2 linked regions of the Struthio camelus genome follow. The protein of the gene in region 1 purifies or fractionates together with the protein of each later gene. This does not show direct contact. Links are inferred from orthologs where the notes say so. Each region holds a gene or a part of one and is shown in the gene's direction. Other genes may lie near its edges.

Evidence for each region.
Region 2: the proteins of ZMYND8 (region 1) and MTA1 purify together in Homo sapiens (affinity purification with mass spectrometry; 3 studies listed by BioGRID and IntAct, with this or other methods). This does not show direct contact. The link is inferred for Struthio camelus from reciprocal best matches to the Homo sapiens genes ZMYND8 and MTA1.

What each region holds. Positions count from the first base shown.
Region 1 is NC_090959.1:8,662,514-8,669,800, reverse strand, and holds the start of ZMYND8 (MYND-type zinc finger-containing chromatin reader ZMYND8), read left to right. Parts: upstream 1-4,286; 5' UTR 4,287-4,537; intron 4,538-4,641; exon of another isoform or gene 4,642-4,688; intron 4,689-5,895; 5' UTR 5,896-6,007; intron 6,008-6,653; 5' UTR 6,654-6,809; intron 6,810-7,287. Other genes in the region: translocating chain-associated membrane protein 1-like 1, read right to left, coding at 3,358-3,477. UniProt on the Homo sapiens protein: Chromatin reader that recognizes dual histone modifications such as histone H3.1 dimethylated at 'Lys-36' and histone H4 acetylated at 'Lys-16' (H3.1K36me2-H4K16ac) and histone H3 methylated at 'Lys-4' and histone H4 acetylated at 'Lys-14' (H3K4me1-H3K14ac).
Region 2 is NC_090949.1:9,500,998-9,508,448, forward strand, and holds the start of MTA1 (metastasis-associated protein MTA1), read left to right. Parts: upstream 1-4,439; 5' UTR 4,440-4,619; coding exon 4,620-4,647; intron 4,648-7,451. UniProt on the Homo sapiens protein: Transcriptional coregulator which can act as both a transcriptional corepressor and coactivator. Acts as a component of the histone deacetylase NuRD complex which participates in the remodeling of chromatin.

The sequences.
Region 1 (7,287 bases):
GATACCTGAAGTTATGGTCCAGCTAAAAGGCAGTGAAAGGCAATTTTTCAATTTATGGTTTGTAACCACAGGGCTGCCCTTCAAAGTCTGGAGAAAAATATTCTTTCTGGAAGAAAAGAAAAAAAAAAAAGTGTTGCTCTCTGAGTTCACGGCAGCCTCCTTTCATTCTGAAAGGGGACTGAAATCATACTCAATTATCTCCTGAAGATATATTAGGACAGTAGCTTTTGTGAGGATAAGCTACTTTTCACGCACTTTGGGAGAAGAAGGTGGCAGGTAACCTTGCTAAAGCCCATCACATTAGCTATTACTTTTTCTGGTTGTCTGTTAAGCCGATAACATACCACAAATGTTCCACTCTGCTGGAAGTACGGGAGCTCCATTAAGCGGTATCTGTGGCCACCCTACCACAGAACGCAAGCAACAACGGAAATTGTTTTAGAAGGACGTCACACGAAATTTTTCTGAGATTGCACTAGTGGCTTAAAAAGAACCGTGCACAATGAAAGTGCAGTTTCTTTCAAAGACAAAGTCCACTCTCTCATCAAGAAAAGCGCTGGGACTAGACACACAAAGGCTGCTGTATAAAGATTCTCAGGGAAGGAAGAAGAAAGAAAATAGCAGTTATGTACTAAATTTAACAGCCCCTTCTCAGTATGTTATAATCAGAGTGGATCTCATTACAAACTTCTAAAGACTTCATAATAATTAGCAAAGTTAAGGTATAAAAAAGCACAATTAAGGTGGAAAAACAACCATGCATAAGAATTTCCTTTAAAGAAATTCTTATAATTTAATTTATTACATACTAACGCTAATTTCTAACTCTAACATACCTATTGTTTTTTGGATGGCCTCATGGATATAGGCAATTGAATGCCACCTAGAAAAGAAAACCTGTATTTACTCTGATGTCACTACACAGCCCTGAGTAAATCATTAAAGAGGTAGTCAGCTGTAAAAAGTTTCATTTGTACATTCTTTAGTTCGTAAGTGTACAATCTAAGGTACCACAAGTTGGATCTGGAAACCTGCCACTGACAGCTGCAGCTGAAATCACAGCAAGCACAAAATGCTCTGAAAAACATTGATTTAAAAAAAAAAAAAATAGTAGTCATTCAGTGCCCCAAAACTCAAAACCTAAAAATAATTTCACTTTAATATAGAGAGGAAATCAAGACCAGAAGGCAATGGGGATAACAGCTGTGTAGGCATGTTCAGTAACACTTATGAAGCACTCAACATAGTGTCTTGATAAACGTCACAAAAAATACTCAAAAACATCAGTAGTTTTGTTTGGTTGTCAGAGTTTGTATTACACATAATAAATATGGTACAAAGCCTACATGGTGAACAATGAAATATAGGTTTCATTCAGTAACTACTGTGTGCTTTTCTGCGGTGAATGAGACAGAGGTCTAGCACCAAAAAAAATTTGTCAATAGAATGAAAGGCTGTACAGAATTTATTTTTTTAATATTATACTTATGGCAACAAAACCGTTTATCACCTGTTACATAGAACCATCGTTCCTCTGCATAAGAAGTGAATGCTGTCCCAATCTACAGATAATTTTTGCATCAAAAACGGACATGCAGAACGTTTAAGTTATACTATAAAAAGCACACAAGTCTAGTCAAACAAACACAATAAAAAGAAAATAATCAAAAGCTACACTGGAATCTAGTCTGCAAAATTTTAAACTTTCAGATTTATTCTGAGTAGAAATGAGATATTCTGCTAATTATGCTTGGGTTTAACTAATATTGGCTTACTCTTCTTCCTATAAAAGAGGTAAGCTTCACCACCAGAGCAAAAATACGCTGGGGGAGCTGCACAGTACCTCCAAATACCAGTAGACTTACCAGCTACTTACAGAAGCACAACTCCTGTGTTCATACAAAGTCTGAGCTAAGACAAATGGAATTTAGAGACTGAATTCCAGAAAACACACTTTTTTTTTTTTTAGAACAGCAAAGACACACAAGGCAACCTCATTAAAAAGTAACATATACAAGATACATAAGAAGTTCTACATATGCGAATGAATCCTAAAATGAATGTTTTATCCCAGGTGCAAGCATTTACTCTCCTCCTTAAAAGCTAACTAAAAAGCCTTTTTCACCTCAGCTCCCAAGGGCCTAGTTATTTTTTTTTTAAATCAGTTCTGCATTTCACATATTAACTTTCATATCATAGACATAATTTATTACACATCAACACTGGATTTGTCCAACATTTAGAAGGAAATTGTCTGACTGTTGCTGACTCCTTTCTCCACTCTATTCCTGCACAGTATCCTTAACAGTTTCAGAAGTGGGTCAAGATAAAAATAAAAAAGACATCTGCAGGGAAGTATCTTCTCTGAGAATCTAAAAGCATTTGCATTTTTAAAATAACCTGATTTTACATCTCAGCCAACTGATGTTAAAATGTTTCAGGAAAGTATTTAAGTTATCTATTAATTTACAAAGCCCTACCACACACTCGACACCAGCCTAATAGACTCACACGGCAACACACAACAGTTTTGTCCCAAAGGTAGGGAAAAGATGTCTAAAAGAGAACAGCCACAACCCAAGAAACTAATAAGCTGCTTGCATATAGAAATAAACTGTACGGTAACTTTCAAATGCAAAGGGAAAGAGAAATTCAGAAACTAGTCTGAGATTGTGAAATCTTGCGTTTTTCTTCAGGTCATCCGTCACTACCGAGCTGACTCAGCAACAGAGGGAGCAGCGGTGCAAAGGGCGCCTAAGCAGTTTTTAGCTACCATTTGGTTTAAGCCTGCTTAAAACATCAGTGGCTGCCTGAAGCCCTCTTTGCAACAGTGCTCCTACATGCTTCACCACGTGGACGTCTGAACAGGGGGAAAAAAAAAAAAAAAGTAAATAACTCTCACACACGACCAAGAGACACACGAATTTGCTCTAAGCAAAGGGGTCTCAGGAGCTTTTTTATTCAAGGGAACGGAACTGAGTAAAAGGGAATTTACGGGAGGCTGCGAGGCGTGCAACAGATGCAGAGATGAAGGAAAGCTGGACGAAAAAAAAAGAAAACCAAACAAACGAAGAGCGAGCAGCAAAGCGGGAGCGAGCAAAGCCGAAGCTCCTGTCGAGACGCGGAGGGGGGCGCGGGCAGGGTGCCAGGCAGCCAACAGGCCTCCGGGCAAAGAGGCACCGGGGCACAGCCCGGCAGGGAAGAGGGGAGAGGGCAGAGCTGCGCAGCGGCGGCGCGGAGGCGAACGGCGGGGATGTACGGGGCGGAGCTCCGCGGAGGTAAGCCGGAGCGCCGCGCTGTCGCCTCGCGTCCCTGCGCGGCTCGGCGCCCACCGGGCCCCTCACCCTGCTCCGGTACCTCGAACATTAGCCCCAGCAGGAGGCCCACCGCCAGGCAGGACACGGCGTCTGCATGGTTCTGGATGACGAACTCGTGGCTCAGCATTGCCGGGCTCCTGGCTTTCCGGCGGAGCCCCATGGCGGTGGACGGCGCCCAGGGCCCCGGCGGCCCCGCCGAGGGGAGCAGCACCTCCCCACCCCCGCCCCGCGGCAGCCACTTTCACCTCCCGCCCAGTAAACGCCGCTGCTCCCAGGGCCCGCCTCCCACCCTTGGCCAGCCAATCAAGCTGAAGACGACCTCTAACTAGCAGCCCTAGCAGCCAGTCGCGAGGCGGCCGGGAGGAGCGGTTTCCAGGGGGGCGGTACTTCAGCGGCAGTCGGGCACTCACGACTGGAGTCGGGGGTCCGACATGAGTGACGCGGGATTCATCCAGTCCCATGTGCGGATGGGTGGGGCTTGCTCAGGAGGCCCCCCCCACAGATAGTGGTCGGTGGGCGGGGCTTGGCTCAGCTGGCGTTCGGGGCGCGCCTTCGCCGTCTCTGCAGGTGGCGGCGGCTGTGGGGAGCGGGCAAGTCCGGTTTGGCCCGGCTCGAGCCGGTCTCCGTGGGGCGGGGCTGGGCTCGCCACAGCCCCGGGGACGACAGGGCGGCTTTGCCGCCGCAGGGCCCGCGGGGAGCGAGACAGGTCGGGCGGCCAGCTCCCCTCACAGGCCCGAGGAGCGCCGCCTGCGCAGGTGGCGGGCGCCGCCCTCAGAGCCGGCTAGCGGCTCCTCGCCCCGCTCTCCGCCTCCGAGCGGGCAGTGGTCGCTCACCACCGCTAGGCAAAAACGGAAAAGCTGTTGGGAAATCCCCACCTTACCCTCCTTTTTTATAATTTCCATTGAAATGGAGGGGGAGGGGCTAAAAGGTGCTTTGAGGCCCTAGAGATGTGAGGATTTGGCCACCTGCAGGCTCTAGCTGGAATTCAAGGGGGAAAGCAGACCGGTTGACCAAAACTGTGACCGAGGCAGGGGAAGGCCGGAGGGGGTGATGGCATCACAGAGGAGAAGGTTGAAAGGGGAAAAAAGAACTTCGCTTCCATCTTGCACGCAGATGCCTCCCCTGCTGTGGGGAGCATAGCGTCTGCTGATTCCAGTGAAGGGATGATTCATCTGGAGCCAGCTGCTAAATAGGACCAAAAAATCAGTTCCGTTTTGAAGGTAGTTTTGCTACCTGTTGATTTTTAAATGTTTTAGGCTCACTGAAGCGGTTTCTATGTGCCACAGAATTTCCTTTCTGTTATGCTTTCTCCTAGTTAGTCAGTTTGACAATACTCATGCTCCTGTTTCTACCCTCATTTTGAGTTTCAAGGTAACGTATTCAGAAGCTGCATTTTATGTGTGAATTTAAGCATTGCTACAGAGCGCTTGTACAATACGGACGTTTGGTGAGGCAACGGCCATGCATATGCTTTACCTCAGCCAAAAAGAGGGATTCTTAAATAAAAATACTTGCAGTAAATCATTTACAAACCATTATTGGTTTCTTGATGAAAAGGAAATGATAAAATAGCAAGACTTAATTGTTTATTATAATTACTATTTTTCTTTTTTCTTAAGCTAAAAAGAGTATCCCCAATTGAAATTGTAACTATGATTCAAAATTTTTTTCCCTTCTTCTGGAAACATATTAGAGATAGGGGCAAATAATGCCAAATAGAAATGGGAATTTGCAGTACCAAGAAACACAAGCCTGGAATGTGGTTTTGCAACCCAGAATATACCCCTTTAATATAATTTGCACCGTTTTTGTCCCATATCGGTGAGCAAGCTAGTCTGTATTTTTATGAACTGGGAACATGACTTTCTAGAAGAAAAAAGCTATAGGGCTCTATATTTTTATGGATTTTTTTATTCATTTTATTTGGATTTTTATATTTTTACGTTCTATGTTTATAGCTTTGTAGATAGTCTCAGCATAAACTTCAGCTCTCATATATTTGCTCAAGTTCCAAACAAGCAATGTTGTTTGACTTTTTATTTTGAAACAAAACTAAAGAAATTTAGGAGCAGATAACTTTTATTACCGATTCCCCACTTGCATCGATGCATGTTTTCTTACAAGAAACTCAATTTTAATACATGACCTAAGTAAGATTTGTAATTAATCTAGTAATATTTTTTCAGAAAAATGAATCTTGAGGCATATTTGCTAGGTATAAAACTGATTTAGACAATGAGATACAATGAGGCAGTCAGATATGATAATTTACAGTAATATTAAACGAGTATTTGAGTTCAAGTACCTGCTCCTAGAGATATCTACTGACTTCTGCCTTTGTACATTTACTAACTTAAGTTTCTAATATAGATATACTCTGTGCACAAGAGGAGCTAACAGTTGTCTAAACTGATTATTTGAATTGACAAAAGTCTTGAACCTACTTTGGAGTTAAAAACATTGTGTCTGGGAGGCAAGAGGAAAAAAAAAGGCGCTCAAGTGAAGTCTCAGACCACCTTTTCACCTGTTAGAACCCTGTGGAACCCTCTGTTCAAGTTCTGTTTTTCTCCTCTGGCAGTTGAGGGCAACATCATGTTAAGGTAATGAAGTGAAATGACCCTTTCGTTCCAATGTGTGTATGATGCGCGTCTTGAAGAAGACTTGAGATTGCTGAGCTCTGTCTTTGGCAAGTAAGTAAACTCTATTGTTTAACGCACTATATAAATACATATAAAGAGGTCAGTGAAATGCCATACTTCTGTTGCTTACATTTACTTACTTTTCTCAGGTGTCTTTTCAGAAGTTATATTTACGATTTGAAAACTGACAAAACTGGGTGGGCCTGCCAAAAGACAACCCACTTACTTGTTGGTTATCTACTTTCCTGCCTGGTTCATAATTCTGTATCTATATTATTTAAGCTCTAAGTTCCAGGTTTAAAGTCTCAAGTATTTTACCTCTTTGATTCCACAACTTCTGCGTTATACATGGGCATCTTCTCATCAGTATTTCTAAATTATGTCACTGTCATGGCAACAGCCTTTCCCCCTCATCCCTTTTTCTGGTAGAGCAGAGTAGGTTCTTCTAGAATACATTAATGAGTACTGGTAGTTCATTAATTAATTTGAAGGTTGCTTCAGTTTTTTTTGGCTCCTAGTGGGTCATTTCCATTGTCCTCTCCTTTAAACAAATTAACTTAGCCAAGAAAGCTGTTGTTTCCTTTTTTACTTGTTTTCATAGATATTTTCTCTGTTAAATAAATGAAACAAAAAAGCTTAACCTGCAGTTTAAACTTTTCTGTAGTTGTATCATTACACTTATTAATGCTATTTGCAGAGCTGTAGAAATCAACCAGAGACCTGCTTGACCATGCTGAAGTAGCTAAGAATGACCAACCTGACTCCTTTATTTTATGCTTCAGTTAAATAAGATGAGTTAATTCAGAATTGGAGTAAATTCAGGGAAGAAGAAAGCACTAGTCATTTTCGTGGGGTAAGTAAACCCAATTTAAAAATCACTAGGCAAATACATTCAAACTGGTTGCATGATTTCCTTTTGTGTGTGTGTGTGGGGGGGGGGGTGTTAAAGGGCCAGCCAACATGGAGGGGGGGTATTTTGTTGTTGGCTTTTTTTGTATTAGGCACCGTATAAACACTGAGTAGCGTAGAGACCGCATCTAGCAGAATTTAGGATCTAAATAGACAAGCTAGATTCACTATGGGGAAGAACCATGCCTCGTAAGCAGTAAATAGTCCACTGGCACCAAAACACGTTAATTTTGTTCTTCTGGGACTTTCTGGGGAGGAGAGAGATTACATAGGAAAAGACAAGCTGGGGAAAACAGAAGAGGGCCACAGACACACATGGTAAAGCATTAGGAAAGAAGGACTGGAGCAAACCACCAAGGGAAAAACAGTCTTAGGCAAGCCTGTCTGCAAATGTTGGACTGTCATATCCCTGCTTTTACTGC
Region 2 (7,451 bases), on another chromosome or scaffold:
TGGCGATGGAGCAGGGGGCTTCAGGGAGGGTTCTGGCAGGGGCCAGGCTGCTCCCGAGGCAGCTCTTGATGGATGCCTCAGCTTCTCCGTACTGGCTGGCTGGCTAGCCAAATTTGCCTCTGTGGCTTGCAGCCATCCTGCATCCCTTCCTTTGCTGGGGGAGGGGACACAAGAGTCTCCCAGCAGCGTCCCAGTGGTCGTTTGCCCAAACGGCACCGAGCAGGGATGGGGTGGCCCCAGGCAGGTACATAGCCAGGGAAAGGACAAATCTGGGACTCGCCGGTACACAGGCAGCAACGCAAGCCATCAGGAGGGCCCGAGCGCTGGCCAGAGAGGGGGAGCACCGTAGGGCAGCTGGGGGAGAGGCAAGTGGTCCAGGCTGTATTTTGGCTATGTATTTTTTGCACAGGTTCAGCTGTAAACCTGCAGCAAGGGCCCAGCCACGCGGAGGAGGCTCAGCCTGACCTCTCTCTGGCAGGCTGGGCCCACCTCGTCGTGCCCGGCTCCCGCAGCTCGCTGCACGGCGGCCTGCAAGGCGTTGGCACGTCCCAGCCACTGCCTCTGAGCTTGAACTGGCAGATATTTCCCTTTCCCTCTCCACTTGAGTTTTCTCTCTTCCCCGTCAATCCTCCCTGCTTACACCCAGTTGGGACAGCCTGTGTCCCGGCGGTTCGGGGCAGGAGAGGGTTGTGACGGCAGCAGGCAATGCGTTTCTAGAAATAGCCTGTGTTAGTGCCAGCGTGGCTGGTTGTAGGGTGGCGGGTAAGGAAGGGGGGAGGCGGCGGTGATTCAGCTTTGCCAGTGCAGCTGGAGCTGTGTCCAGTTTCCGATTGTGCATCCTGGTGAAGGAGCTATAGCTCTGCGCGCTACAGCAAGGGGTACCGGCACCGCTCTGGGGGCACAGCCGCCCTCCCAACCGCAGAAGGAAAACTCCCCCTCTGGAGGTGGGGGAAAGCAGACCTCTATCCTAGGCAAACCTGCAGCGTGGCTGAAATGCAAATGTTTCCCAAGGCCGCTGTGGAAGTGGTTTAAGGAAGACGCAGCATGTGGCCAGGAAGGCAAGCTGAAGCTTTCCAAGCGGGAAAGTCACGCTAGGGTAGCCATGGACGGCTGTAATGTAGCGCTGCTCAGCTGTGCCAGACTTCGATGCAGTGGGGGACAACGAGCTTTCCCTTCCAGGGACAGGAGAGCGTCGTGAGTCCAACCAACCCGGACAAACACATTTGAAGGAGCAGGATGGATTTTGGCCACCTAAACCTATGGAAGTCCAAAGGGATCCCACAAAAATGTCGGTGTGCCACGCAAGCAGCAGCGCAGAGCCAGGTGCGTGGTGGCCCACCTGCCTCGACGTTGGCCTCGTTGCCCTCTCTTCCAAAGGGCTGACCTTTCAGTCCCTGTCCCTTGTCACTGAGGTGCTCGGGGGGGGACGGGGGACAGAAAGCTCAGCAGGAAAATTCCAGCTGCTACCGTGCCCTGGAGAGCTGTCCTGGGGCAGGGAGCAGCAGGGGGGTAGCAGCAGAGAGGGGTGGCGAGCAGAGCAGGGGCAGAGAGGTTGGTTTGGGATGAGGGTGCATCAGGGGACCGCCTAGTCCATTGGTCTAGACCAATGCACCTAGAAAGTTCTCCTCATGCCCACGCGTGCTGGGGAGAGCTGATTTCTGTGGGGCCATCTTGGACAGGCTGGCATCTTCTGCAGGTCTCGGCTTTTCTTGGTGGCTGTGCCCTCTCCGGGCTGGGCCGACAGGGATCCAGTGCAAGAGCTTCCCTGTCACAACAGACAGAAAACCTTCTCGAAGGACCAAGCTTGCTACAGGAGGAGCGCTGGTGGCACGTACCGGACTGGGATTTTGGTGGCGGGAGACAGGGCGTTGCAAAACCCAATGCCTTTCCAGGCTGTGGCTGCTGGAGCCACGTCCCCTCCTTTCCAATTGCATAACATCCCAGTGGCGACCACAGCTATTGCTCAACGTGGAAGAGTAACAGCAGGGAAGTTCTGACATGTTTTTGTTGCTATCGTTTAAAAAACAATTTAGTGTCTGGAAAGAGCAGTCAACACCACGTGAGCGGCCACTTCTTCGTGTGCAACTACCAAGTGCCCCATGATGCGATTTGTAAATATTTATTCTGGATAATTTTTCTGTGTCCTACTGAATTATTTTCCGCTCTGCAGAGTGGTTGCAGAAACAGCCTGGGGAGGACCAGGCCTCGCGCCTGGCGTGCGGGCAGACGTGTCCCGCGGGTACCGTAGTGTCCCCAGAGGCCAAGTCGCTCATGCTCGGCTCTGCTGGGGAGCTCGGGAAAGGCAGGAACACGGCGCGGGCACGGGCGGCCCCCGGCGTGCTGGACTAACCCTTAGCTGACCGGTTTCAGCCCCAGAAACGCTCTCCTCGCTCAGCAGCGCTCCTTGCCTGTGTGGGAAATATGAAAGCAGAACAAATCCGAATGGCCCTACTGCGGTCACTGGGGTTTTTTTTTTAACATATAAAAAAGAATTTAAGCCAACAAATCATTCTCTCTTAAATACACGTATTTTGGCAGGTGTGACAACTTTGGGCAGTCTTATGGGACTCCTTGAGGATGTCACGACAACCGGGGTTGAGAGCGCGGGTGGTTGGCCCTGCTCAGCCCTGGTGAAACGTGCGGCTTTGGCTAACTGCTTCTTCCGCGGCTGCGGAGAGTTTTATTACACGTATTTTTTGGCTGATGAATAATTTCCCCAGCAGCAGGCCGAGGTGCCACCGCGAGAGGTGTGGGACGCGGGGCGCCCCCAGCCAGGCAGTCGGGGTACCGGTTACGGGGTGTTCCCAAACGCGTGGTGCATCAAGGTGTGCAGCTGCATGGGGTGTCAAGAACAGGGGTACAGGTGGGGGGACGTGGTGTGTGTGAGGAGGGGTTGTGCAGTGATGCCCCCTGGGAGGGGCCACACTGCCTGTGCCAGGGCAGCTGTGTGTGCGGGTGTGAGGAGGGCTGTGTGTGTGAGCACAGGCAGCGCACGTGGAGAAGGGCTGTGTGTGTGGGAGGGCTGTGTGTGAGGAGGGCTGTGAGGAGAGGTGTGTTTGAGTACAGGAGGGGTGTGTGTGTGTCAGGAGAGCTGGCTGCTGTACAGGCAGTTGTGTGAGGGTACAGGTGGGCTGTGTGTACAGAGGGCTGTGAGGACAGGTGGAGTGTGAGGGCACAGGCAGGGTGTGTGCACAGAGGGCTGTGAGGACAGATGGAGTGTGAGGGTACAGGCAGGCTGTGTGCACAGAGGGCTGTGAGGACAGGCAGGGTGCGAGGGTACAGGCAGTGTGTGTGCACAGAGGGCTGTGAGGACAGGCGGAGTGTGAGGGTACAGGCAGGCTGTGTGCACAGAGGGCTGTGAGGACAGGCGGAGTGTGAGGGTACAGGCTGGGTGTGTGCACAGAGGGCTGTGAGGACAGGCGGAGTGTGAGGGTACAGGCAGGCTGTGTGCACAGAGGGCTGTGAGGACAGGCGGAGCGTGAGGGTACAGGCAGTGTGTGTGTGCAGAGGGCTGTGAGGACAGGCGGAGTGTGAGGGTACAGGCAGGGTGTGTGCGGAGTGCTGAGGACAGGCGGAGTGTGAGGGTACAGGCCGGATGTGTGCGCAGAGGGCTGTGAGGACAGGCGGAGTGTGAGGGCACAGGCAGGGTGTGTGCACAGAGGGCTGTGAGGACAGGCGGAGTGCGAGGGTACAGGCAGGGTGTGTGCGGAGTGCTGAGGACAGGCGGAGTGTGAGGGTACAGGCCGGATGTGTGCGCAGGGGGCTGTGAGGACAGGCGGAGTGTGAGGGTACAGGCAGGGTGTGTGCAGAGGGCTGTGAGGACAGGCGGAGTGTGAGGGCACAGGCAGGGTGTGTGCACAGAGGGCTGTGAGGACAGGCGGAGTGCGAGGGTACAGGCAGGGTGTGTGCGGAGTGCTGAGGACAGGCGGAGTGTGAGGGTACAGGCAGGGTGTGTGCACAGAGGGCTGTGAGGACAGGCAGAGCGTGAGGGTACAGGCAGGGTGTGTGCACAGAGGGCTGTGAGGACAGGCGGAGTGTGAGGGTACAGGCAGGGTGTGTGCACAGAGGGCTGTGAGGACAGGCGGAGTGTGAGGGTACAGGCCGGGTGTGTGCGCAGGGGGCTGTGAGGACAGGCGGCGTGCCTGAGTACAGGAAGCAGAGGGCTGTGAGGCCAGGCGGTGCGTGGGCACAGGCGGTGCGCGGGGGCCGGTGCCAGGGGCTGCGGGCAGGCCCCGCCGCAGGCCCCGCCGCCCGGAGGAGGCCGGCCCGGGCTCTGGTGGTGCCGCCGCCGCCGGCGGGCGGGCGGGCGCGGCGCTCGCCGCCGTCACATGGTGCGGGCTGGGCGGCGGGGCCCGCTCCTTCCCCCCCCGCCCGCCGCCGCCGCCGCCGCCGCCCCGGCCCTCGCCGTGCCCGCGCCGCCGCCGCCCCGCCCTCCGCCGCCCGCCCGCTCGCCCTCCCCTCGGCGGCCGGGCGGCAGCCGGCGCGGCCCCTTTAATTCCCTCGCTCCCCCTCCCCCGCCCGGCCGCTCCAGCCTCCATTTTCCAGCGGATCCGGCACCTGGAGGCGGCGGCGGCGGCGACGGGAGCGGCCCGCGTCCCGCACCCGGCCCCGTCCCGGGCATGGCCGCCAACATGTACCGGGTCGGAGGTAAGCGCCCCGCCGGGCCCCGGCCCCGCGCGGCCGCGCCTCCCCGCGTGCCAGCGGCGCGTCAGGGGCCGCGGCGGCGGGGCAGGCCCGGCCCGGCGGGCGTGGGGCGCGCTGGGGGCGCGGGGCGCCGTGGGGCGGGTGCGGGGGGTGGGCTGTGGGGCCCGCTGGGGTGGGCAGGAGTGCGGGGTGCGTGTGGGGTGGAGGGCAACGTGGGGTATGGGGTGGTCTTGGGGCGGGGTGTGGGGTGGGTTGGGGTGGGGGGGAGCCTGGAGATAGGGTAGGTGGTGGTCTTGGGGTGGGGGGAGCGTGGGGACGGGGTGTGGGGTGGGGGGGAGCCTGGAGATAGGGTAGGTGGTGGTCTTGGGGTGGGGGGAGCGTGGGGACGGGGTGTGGGGTGGGGGGGAGCCTGGAGATAGGGTAGGTGGTGGTCTTGGGGTGGGGGGAGCGTGGGGACGGGGTGTGGGGTGGGGGGGAGCCTGGAGATAGGGTAGGTGGTGGTCTTGGGGTGGGGTGGGGGGCAGCTTTGGAAGGAGTTGCATGGGGAGGGAGGCTGTTGAGGCACGAGGCAGGGACCTTCTCGGTGGGGTGGGGGCGCGAGGTAGGTTTGGGGTGTGGGTTTTGGGGCTGGAGCAGGCTGGGGAGAGGTTAGGTGGGTGGGAAGGCTGGTGCCTGTGGGGTGTGGGTGGCTCTGGGGTGGGGAGAGGCTGAGGAGGAGGCAGGTGGGCGCAGGGCTGCTGGAAGAGGATGTGTGGGGCGAGGGTGGATTTGGGTTGGAGGCTGGGGGTTTGGGAAGGGGACAGGACTGGGGTGCTGGGAGGGGGGGATCGGGTCCGCGGGGTGTGGGTGTGTGGGACGCACACAAGGAGCGCTGTAAGGAAGAGGGCTATGGAGGGTGAGGGGGTTTTAGGTGGGAGTAAGTGGGGCAAAGGGCTGTTGTGGGGGCGGTTTGGGGAGGCTTTGTGTGGGCAATGGGGCTTGGAGTTCCTGTGTGAGGTGGGGGCGGATACGACATGGTGTGTTTGGCATTGTGCAAGGTACAGGGTGTGGGGCAGAGGTGAGGAGCCATCTTGGGAGGGTTGGGGATGGAGAAGAGCCCTGCCGAGCTTTATGAGGCTGAGGAAAGTAGGGGCCTGCTCTGTGTATGAGCTGTGCGGGGGGGAGTCGGGGGGCTTGGAGAGAGAGGAGTAGAGGGCAGATCTGGGATGAGGGCATGGGCAGGAGGGGTGGATTTCTGGAGCAACCTATGAGAGCAAGACCAGAGACCATGGGGAAACAGAGTTAGGGTTGGGGTGGAACGAAGGGTCGGATGACTGTTTAGACAAGGGTTATGTGAGGTTGTAAGGGTGGGGACGTACAGGGAGTTGCTGGGATAAGAGCAAGCCTAACGATAGGCTGAGACTACTGGTAGACTAGGGCAGTTGCATGAAGCAAGTCCTGCTGATCTTGGCCTTCCCTTCCATTCATGCTGTTTTATTGTATGCTTTCCCATTAGTCTTCTGTTCAGAGCCTTGCGCTCCTGTCTGATTGTCCTTTGTTTAAACTCACGTGAAGAGAAAGGAGAGGCAACAGGGTTTGGGATTGAATTTTATGGAATATAAACACTGAGGGTGGTCTGGCATGAATTTGTGTTCAGCCATTTTCCTTCATAAAAGCTGTTCTGTGGAACTTCCTTGTTCCTTGAACCATAGGATCTAAGGGAAGATATTTTGGTGGGGGGGGGTCCCTCCTTTCAAAGTACTCCATTCTTTTGGAGTTCTGTAAAAGCAGGGTAAAGTAAACAAGGGGAAAATATAGTGAAGGTGGCCAAGCCATCCTGTCTGGCTACTCTCCATCAACAACTACTTTCAATTCTTTCCACTTTTCTGGCCTACCCTTACTTTGTACTCTGAAAAATGTCACGTTTGTTGTCACATTTATACTTTTTTGCTGGTTGCACTTGGTGTCGTGAAGGGATAAGATGTGCATCTTAGCTGTCCCAGCTTTGTTTCTTGGGTTGCTACAAGTTGGTTGTGTGTGTGTGTATAGCATTATGTGGGGTTAGAAATGCTGAGAAGTAGAAAGATGAAGGGCAAAATGTGCTGTAGGAGTTTACAGTTCAGTTCCTGGTGTGACTTGCAAAGGGAATTGTTTCCTGGGAATTGTTGTTTGGTATTTAAGGTTACAGGCATTAGTCTTGCACTGAATGTGATCTCTAGTATTTTGTGTGTCAAAACCTGGACTGTGCTCCCCATAAAATCATGTAGGTGGGAAGAGACCTCTAGAAATCTCTAGTCCAACCACCTACTAAAAGCCATCCAGTTAGAGCAGGATGCTTGGGGCTGTGTTCAGTTGAGTTCTGAACGAAGGATGGTGATGCCTCTTCTTCTCTGGGCCCTCTTCCAGTGTTTGACCACCTTCCTGGCAACTTGTTTTCCTTATGTCTGGTTGGAATTTCTCATGTTCTGACATGTGTTCATTGCCCCTTGTCCCCGGGAACCTCTGAGAAGAGCCTGCCCCTGTCTGCTGGTTGTAGACAGCAATAGCATCTGCCCCGAGCCTTTTCTCCCCCAGGCTGAACAAACCTGTCTCTATTGGCCTGTCTTTGTACATCCTGTGCTTCAGCCCCAACCACCTTGGTAGCTCCACTGGACTTGCTCCAGTATGTCACTGTCCTTGTCTTGGGGAGCCCAAACTGGATGAGCGCTCTAGATGGTCTCAAGCGCTGAGCAGGAGGGATAGGATCTCTCCCCTCGCCCTGCTGCTTGTGCTCTTGTTAACCCAGCCCAAAATGCCACCAGCTTTGCTGCAATGGTACAGTGCTGTCT